Linked DNA regions of Oryctolagus cuniculus. The protein of the gene in region 1 interacts with the protein of each later gene in a biochemical or structural test. Links are inferred from orthologs where the notes say so. Each region holds a gene or a part of one and is shown on either strand. Other genes may lie near its edges. The genes, in order: DNM1L and FIS1.

Evidence for each region.
Region 2: the proteins of DNM1L (region 1) and FIS1 form a complex in vitro, tested with the Homo sapiens proteins (2 studies listed by BioGRID). The link is inferred for Oryctolagus cuniculus from reciprocal best matches to the Homo sapiens genes DNM1L and FIS1.

The regions. Positions count from the first base shown.
Region 1 is NC_091440.1:128,780,531-128,784,335, reverse strand, and holds part of DNM1L (dynamin-1-like protein), read right to left. Parts: exon of another isoform or gene 3,610-3,805; intron 3,148-3,609; exon of another isoform or gene 3,076-3,147; intron 2,784-3,075; coding exon 2,697-2,783; intron 2,580-2,696; exon of another isoform or gene 2,264-2,579; intron 1,109-2,263; coding exon 946-1,108; intron 1-945. UniProt on the Homo sapiens protein: Functions in mitochondrial and peroxisomal division.
Region 2 is NC_091450.1:43,420,674-43,425,112, forward strand, and holds FIS1 (mitochondrial fission 1 protein), read right to left. Parts: upstream 2,987-4,439; 5' UTR 2,848-2,986; coding exon 2,803-2,847; intron 1,952-2,802; coding exon 1,819-1,951; intron 946-1,818; coding exon 869-945; intron 692-868; coding exon 586-691; intron 501-585; coding exon 403-500; 3' UTR 196-402; downstream 1-195. UniProt on the Homo sapiens protein: Involved in the fragmentation of the mitochondrial network and its perinuclear clustering. Plays a minor role in the recruitment and association of the fission mediator dynamin-related protein 1 (DNM1L) to the mitochondrial surface and mitochondrial fission.

The DNA.
Region 1 (3,805 bases):
TCTCTCTTGCCGCTGCTGTCTCCCAAATTAAAAAAAAAAAAAAAAAGCTTTTTAAAAAATGTCAGCATTGAAGGCTGGAGTTGAGCTAGTTGGTAAAGCTGCCACCGGCAATGCCAGCATCCCACATGGGTGCCAGTTCTGAGTCTCGGCCGCTCCATTTCCATTCCAGCTCCCTGCTATCATGCCTGGGAAAACAGTGGAAGATGGACCAAGTATTTGGGCCCCTAAAACCCCTGTGGGAGACCCAGGTGAAGCTTCTGGCTTCTGGCTTTGGATAAGTCCAATTCCAATTGTTGCAGCCATTTGGGGAGTAAACCAAATGGAAGATAAATCTCTCCTGCAAATAAATAAATATTTTTTAAAAAAAGCCATTCATAAACCTAAATCATTATATTTATACCTCTTAGGAAACTTTTTGTTTTAAAGGTATTTTATTATTTAAAGTCATTAGGGGTAGGAATCTGATCTAACAGTTAAGATGCAGCTGGGACACTTGCCGTATCTCTGCCTGGCTACCAGTCCCAGCTCTACTCCAGCTTCCTGCTAATTCACACCTGGGGATAGCTGAATTCTTACCACCCATGTGGAAGACCTGGACTGAGTTCCCAGCTCGCTGCTTCAGCCTGGCTGAGTCTCACCCAGTGCAGGCATGTGAGGAGTGAACCAGTGGATGGGACGCTCTCTCTCTGTCCACTTCTCAAATAAAAGGTAACCATTAAAGATACAGACATTATGTGAATTATTTTTGCCTAGCCTGTACAGCAACTTGACAAACTTATTTTTCATCAGAATTTCTATTTGAAATTATAAGCAAAGTAGGAAAGCATTCCTTTTTTAAACTCTGTATTAATAACTGGAAATATTCCTTTTAAAAATAGAAATTCCTTTCTTGAGATTTATCATTGTCAATCAAGCATCTAATTAAATATTAACACCTATCCTTACCGTCTGGATCTACCTCTCTTGAAATTTTCAGGGCCTCTGATGTCGCCATATCTGTATTAGCAGCAGTGACAGCGAGAATAATGGAATTGGGATTGCTGATGAAACGAAGAATGAGCTCTCGGATCTGAAGCTCAATATCCTTAGGTTGATCACCTACAGGCACCTAAACCAAACAGAGATGAGCAAGGAACTAATAATAAAATCAACTCAGCAACCCCCCCCCGTCATTAATTTACAAATTACAGGTTATTTCTCTATTTGCAAACTGTTAACATAATGAAATTAATGATACTACAGGGGTATGCATGAATTTGGTTAATGTGTGAAACAGCAAAATTTAACTATTGCAAGTATCCAAAGTTGACCAACATGATCCCATGTGAAGGACTAGTCAGTGCTAACTGCCTGAGAGACAACTCCATTCAGTTATCCCAGGTCTACTGATGGCCTACCATGCTTCGGGTCCTTTTCTACATGTCAGAGTATAATACAGCAGTGAATCTAAAACAGACCAACCGTTCTGCCTTCATAAACCTGTGTTGTAGTGATTACAAATACTCATAGTATCCAGGTGGTAGAATGGGCTATAATAAATACAACGGTAGACTCTGCAGGGATGATCTGAAACTGGGTTGTTACCTTTGAGAGAATGACAGAAAGTGAAGATGGAAAGGGAAGGGCACACGCAGGTGTCTGGGAAGGAAGTCCCAGGCGGGGTGACAGCAGGCAGGAGCATGGAGCAAGAGTCAGAAGAAGAGCATGGAGACACCAAATAGACACTTAGATTTCTGTAAGAACTCGGGCTCCTACTCTGAGTGGAATGGGAGGCTACTGGGGCGAATTTTTAGCGAGGATGGACACAGTCTAATGTTTAATACCATCACTCTGGCTGCTTAGTTAAGAACAGGCAGATAATGAGAAAGAGCTGTTATTTATTTGCTTGTTGTACCAACCAAACCAGGTGAATTGACACTGGTCTAATGAGACACAGTAGCATTCTGGGTGTCCTGTACAGGTGAGGACAGCAAAGAGGGCATGCTGACAGGAAGTGTAATGCAGAATAAAAAGCATAAGGATGACTACAAATTTTGGCTAAGCAATTGGTAGAAGGGAGTTGTCATTTATTGAGAGGGGAGAAGATTAAAAAAGGGTCAAATCTAGGAATTTGGTATCCAACTTGTCAGATCTATAACGCTTACAAGACACTTAAGTGTACAAGGGTACTTCAAAAAGTTCATGAACATGAAATTTAAAATGTTACTTTGGTGTGTAAGTTTTTCAAATCAATGTGCAGTTTTTCTTAATACACATTTTCTACAAACTTTTTGAAGCTTTTTATCTGTCAAGCAGACAGATATACAAATATCTGGAGATACTTGAATGCCATCAACATACAGAACCTTAAGTATTTTAAAGCCACAAGATCTGAAGAAATCATGTAGGGGACGGAGTCCAAAAACTGAGCTATGGGGCACTCACTGTTCAGACAATGGGGAGATGAGAAGAAATCAACAAAAGAGACTGAAAGAAGTGGCCAGTGAGCTTGGAGATAAACCGGAAGAGTATGGTATCCTGGAAGCCAAGTAGAGAGAGTGTTTCAAGGAAGGCTCAGCTCTATCAAATGCTTCTAACAGGTAAGTGTGACTGCAAAAAGAAGCTGGTTATTCTCACCCGGGGTTAGGGAAAAACCACAATGTTTCAAGCAAAAATTAACATAACCAAAATCACAATGAGTAACAATGACTCCTTACCTTGGTCATTCCGGGCAAATCCACAAGTGTCAAATTGACAACGTTGGGTGAAAAGATCTTAAGATGAATTGGTTCAGGGCTTACTCCCTAAAAGTAAAATATATATTAAAATTATATTAACAATTCAATGAAGAATGCAATACTGTAGTAAATCTCATTTCAAGCAAACATTACATCTTTTTAAAAATGTATTACATTACAATCTATAAAACGTTTTAAAAATCTAAACCTGTTGAAATACATGGGACATAAATCAGCTGGGTTATAATACTACTGAACCCCATACCAATAATAAGAACAATTTATTTCCCCTGTATTAGTTTGGTTTCTTTTCTCTTGATTCTAAGCATGTATCATTTCTTAAATATGTTTAATACAGTGCTGAACAAAACAACATATTTCTCACTATCCAAATTTAAGAGGTCCCAGAGGTTCAGACAAGGAAACACAGGTAAATTATTCAATTAAATTTGATGGGGTAGATGGGCGGGCGGGCGGACATTTGGAAAGATGGTTAAATCAAATTGCTTGGGACATCTGTATCCCATATCTAAGTACCTAGTTCAAGCATCCAGCTCCCTGCTAATGTGCACCCTGGGAGGCAGCAGGTGATGGATCCCTGCCACCCATGTGGGAGAACCAGACTGAATTTCGGGCTCCTACTAGCTGTTGCAGGCATTTGAGGAGTGAACCAATACATCAAAGATCTACATCTGTTTCTCTGTCTTGTAAATAAAATGAAAATACACAATTTTTGAAAGGGTTATTGCATAGTGAGGTTGTTTCTTGTGCTACAAAAAGGGGGAAGGGATCAATTCGGTTCTTGATCTTTGAATATCAAGTGGCAACACTAGTGTGATAAGAGATTTCTAAGGAAATACATCTGGGCTGGTGCTTCCGTGTCTATCCACAGTGCTCCAAGTCCTCGTGCAGAGCCCCTGGAGTACACGTTTCGGGCCACTCATGTGCCCAGTCCGTCCAAGGTGGTTGCATTCTCTCCATTACTGAACTGAGAGGGGGACTGTGCTGCTTGGATGAAGCTTGTGGGATTTTTGGTGAAACTGAGTGATGAAAGTGTAACCACTGCACTGAAGAATGGGACACAGGTC
Region 2 (4,439 bases), on another chromosome or scaffold:
CACCTGCCCTCTGCTGCCCCCTACAGGTCTGTGCGCGCGCTGCGTCCCCGGGAGAGCAGGGGCTGCCTGGGGCGGGGGGAGGGGGATGGTCACAGGAAGCCCACACTGGCCTGGGGGCACCGGGCAGACCACAGGCCCCCTCACCCTCTGCACCAGGTGGCTCCCGCCCGCCCCCCCAACTCACGACACGAAGGCTCCCGGCCGCGGCCCAATTTTATTCACACTCGTCCCAGAGCACAAGATCTGGGGCTAAGGACAGGTCCCCGGGCAGCGGAGGGTGAAGGCCATGGGGAGGAGTGACAGGTGTGGGGGAGAAGAGGCAGGGGACGGCGGGGCTAGGGCCCTCTCTGCGGGTCCTCGCGGCTCCGGGACGCCTGGGCAGAGCGGGCAGTGCAGTCTCGGTCAGGATTTGGACTTGGACACAGCCAGTCCGATGAGTCCGGCCAGCCCCGCCACGCCCAAGGCCATTCCTCCGACGATGGCCATGCCCACCAGGCCGTCTGGGGGAGGAAAGGGCGCCGTCAGGGCCTCCGCCCGCCGCCCCCCTCGCCGGGAGCGGGCACGGGCGGGCGAGCCGGCTTTCACCTTTCTTCATGGCCTTGTCGATGAGCCGCTCCAGCTCCTTGGCCTGGTTGTTCTGGGGCTCCGTGTGCAGCAGCCCCCGCACGTACTTCAGGGCCCTGTCGTACTCCTGCACGCGGGAAGGTCGGGGGGCGTGCCCGCCTCAGCCCCGCGCCCTCCCCCTGCGGCCCCACCCGCAGCCGCAGCCGGCGGACTAGAGTCCACAAACAGCCTCGCCTGCTGGGGGCGATAAGCGGAGATAACCAGGCCGCCCAGGCCTGACCCCGCGTAACCCCGCCCCGCCTACCTTGAGCCGGTAGTTGCCCACCGCCAGGTAGAACACGTAGTCCCGCTGCTCGTCCTGGGTGCCTTTGAGCAGCAGCTCTGCGGAGGGGAGGGGGCGCTGCTGCTCTGGGCTGGCCCCGGCCCCCGCCCCCGCCCCCGCCGCAGCCACAGCGGGAGCCCGCGACAGCCGCCCCGTGTCAATGCACGTGACCCGACAGGACACGGGAGGGGCCAAACGGTTATGGCCCCATCGCTGTTGCAAAACACGCTGTTCCCCCCCCATTCAGAACACCTGCTCCAAACTCACTACTTCCGGGGCGGGGTGGGGGTGGGGGTTGCGCTAGGTTGGTTGCTCAGCAGGTGTCCTGGGTCTGCACTGTGCCCTCAGCCAGTTCTAGGGCTGCGCCCCGCTGAGGCTAACCCCGTGCAGGAGAAGAAGCGTCCGCACCAAGAGGGGCGCTTGGCGAGGGGCACCGGCAGCCTTGGCCAGGACGCCCACCGCTGCCTCGTACACGGTCAGGGACCCAGAGAAAGGGGGCGCGGGGCGACGGGCCGCCCAGCTCTGCGGCCTCTGCCGCGGGCCCACCTACACCAAGGGGCAGGGGGCTGAGGAAGCAGCTCGGAGAGGGGCCTGGGCACCAGCTGGGGCGCAGCGGTGATGCGGGAGAGGACCTGGCCCGAGCACGCGCCCTGGTGGGGGGAGGCACACTCCAGGACCCTCACGGACACCAGTCTCTGTGGATGCTCAGGCCCCTTAGATTCTCGCGTGTAACCAACACGCACGGCCCCGCGCTCGGAGTCCCCCCGCTGTGTAGACAGGCCACAGCCACGTGTAGGGAGCCGTGCCACGGGGGGGGTCTACACGCTCAGTAGGCCTGCGCAAGCATAACCGCAGCGCCCCGGGCACTGCTGGGTCCACGCGGAGGGACCCCAGGGCCAGTGACGGCGGGGGCGGGGGCGGGGCGCGCTCACCCTCCAGCAGGGTGATGCCTTTGCGGATGTCATCGTTGTACTTGCTCCGCACCAGGCACCACGCGTACTCAAACTGTGTGCTCTTGGACACCGAGCCTGCCGCCTTCTCGGACTGAAACTTCTTCTCAAATTTCTGCCACGGGACACGCGAGGGGACCATTGGGGAGGTGAGGAGTGTCAGTCACGTCGCATCCGGAGCTGAGGTCCCATCCCCGGCTCTGCTTCTCTAGGCCTCCACCCCTCCCCGCCGCCCTCGGGCCTTGGTACCCGGCACGCCCGGCGCCCCCCTCGCCCCTACCCGGCCTCTCGGACCCGGGATGCAGGCGAGCTCCCCGGACCCACCCCGGGGCTCCTCCGCCCGGCCTCTCGGACCCGGGATGCAGGCGAGCTCTCGGACCCACCCCGGGGCTCACACCCCCCTGCGGCGCCAAGCGGAGATGCCACCTGCCGGCGGCTCCAGGCACCGCTCCCGGAGCAGCTGACCGCGGCGGCAGTGCAGTAAACAAGCCGTCAGCAGCCCCCGCGTCTTCGGCGTCGGCGGCTGGCCCGCCTGCTCCGCCCTGCCGGCTCTGCACCTTATCTCGTCTAACTTCCGGGGCCACAAAGGCCAAGGCCTGGCGTGCAGCGCATCGTGCTGGACCCAGTGACGTGTGACGCGCTATGGCTGTCGCCGTGCTCCCCCACAACCGACGGGACGCCCTGACCTCCCAAATTACGCGGCAACCCGCACCTGACAGCCTTTTTGGGGTTAGACGCCAAGTCTTCGTTCGGAGGTGTGGTGGCCGAAGAGACTACAATTCCCACTAGCCTCTGCGGCAAAGAGCTCCCTTGAGGTAGGAGCCGGACGGCGCAAGGCCTGCCGGGAGCTGTAGTTCGGCTTCCCCTAGCAAAGTTGAAGCTGGGAGGAGGGTTTGGCCCCTACACGACTCTCCTCAGGACCCGTCCCCGACTCGCCCCGCGCCCTCCCTCGGGGCCAGGCCTCACCTTCAGATCCTCCACAGACACCAGCTCGTTCAGCACGGCCTCCATGGCCGCCGCCCCCGCTCTCCTCACAGTGGACTCTACTGTGCTACAGTCTCCATGGCCCAGCGGCAGGGGCGGAGCAGCACTTCCGGCGCTCGGCGGATGCGGCCCCCGGGCCGGACCCGCGACGCCCCGCCCCTCCTTCGCCAGGCAGCCTGCCGGAAGGGGGCGCTCGCGCGGACCCCGCACCCCGCACCCCGCACCCCGCAGAGCCCGGGCCGGGCTTTCGCCTGTGCCCTCTCCCGCGGACGTCGCCCCCGGGCCAAAACTAGAAAGGGAAGGGTGGGAGACCAGGCAGGGGTCTGTCGGCCACCAGGGACGGCCGAGGCTGCGTGGCTTCCCTGCCTGCCACAGCCGCAGCCAGGACCAGGGTCCCAGGGCCGGACAGCTGCACCTGTGAGCTGTGCCCCCGAGGGACGCTGTTAGCGGGGGGCCTCCTTCCCGGCAAGAGGGTGCGACTTCCAAGTGGTACTTGGACCAACCGTTTCCTGGGCGTCCCCGAGTGGCCACCTGGGGCCGTGGGAGGCTGAGCTCCCGTGCGCGCTGGAGTGGAAGTTCCAGGAGGGCGGACGCTGCCTCGTTCGTCCAGCGCCCAGCGCCCAGCGCCCAGCAAGGTAAATATTTGTGCACACGCACGGCATCAGGCAGATGCAGCTGATACCAGGGGGACGCCCTTCCGGTCTGCAAGCCCGCTGCTCTGTAGCTCTAACGGTCTTGTGAGTCACCCCTCCCTGTTTGGCCTTGATAGTTCAGTAGGGAACCGTGAAACTCAGGGAGAGAAATGCGTGCCGTTCAGACGTAGCGGCTGGGCCCTGCGCACAGAGCTCCCTCCAAGGGAACCCCGGTGGGCAGGGATGGCTTCAGGATGGGGTCTGTTTGACCTGAGACTGGGGTCGTGGCAGCCCCCGACTGACAGCCCGGCAGTCAGCATACAGGGGGCACATACTGGGCCCCGGGACAGGCACGCGGGCTGGGGGCAGGCTTGCAGGCCCAGCGCTGTCCGTGGTGGGAGCCGATGCCAACTCCAACGGACAGGGTCGGAGCTGCCCTTGGTGTCGGCAGAGAACCGCGTGGTGTGGCCGTGACCCACACCCCTGGCGTCAGCCGTGTTGTGCATGTGGGGAAATCAGACGGGACGGGGCTGTCGTTGGGGTGACGCCGGGGCCCAGTTCTGACCCTGCGGCAACGAGCCATGCAGGCCAGGGGCGCCAGCACGTGCAGGAGCCTCGAGGAGGGGGCACCAGGCGGACGCGGGGCTCAGCCTGAGTGACGGAGAGCGAGGCGGCAGGATGGCCGCGGGCCGATCGCGCAGGGCCTCCCAGGCTAGCCAGGGCTGGATCTGACTTTCTGTGCGATGGGAGAGCAGCGATTCCTTGTAAAAGGATCGCACTGGCCGCTTTTGGAGAGAAGACCACGGGGGCAGCACGAAAGCTGGGCGCCAGCAAAAGGCTGCTACTGTGGCCCAGGCACGGACTGGCAGCGGGGCTGGGGGTGCGAGAGCCGAGACCTCAGCCCCAGCCCTCAGCCCCAAGGCTCCCCCGGGAAGGCCTGCTGGGCACTCCTGACCAGCTCAGCACCCCGTTCTCTGGCTTGGGTGT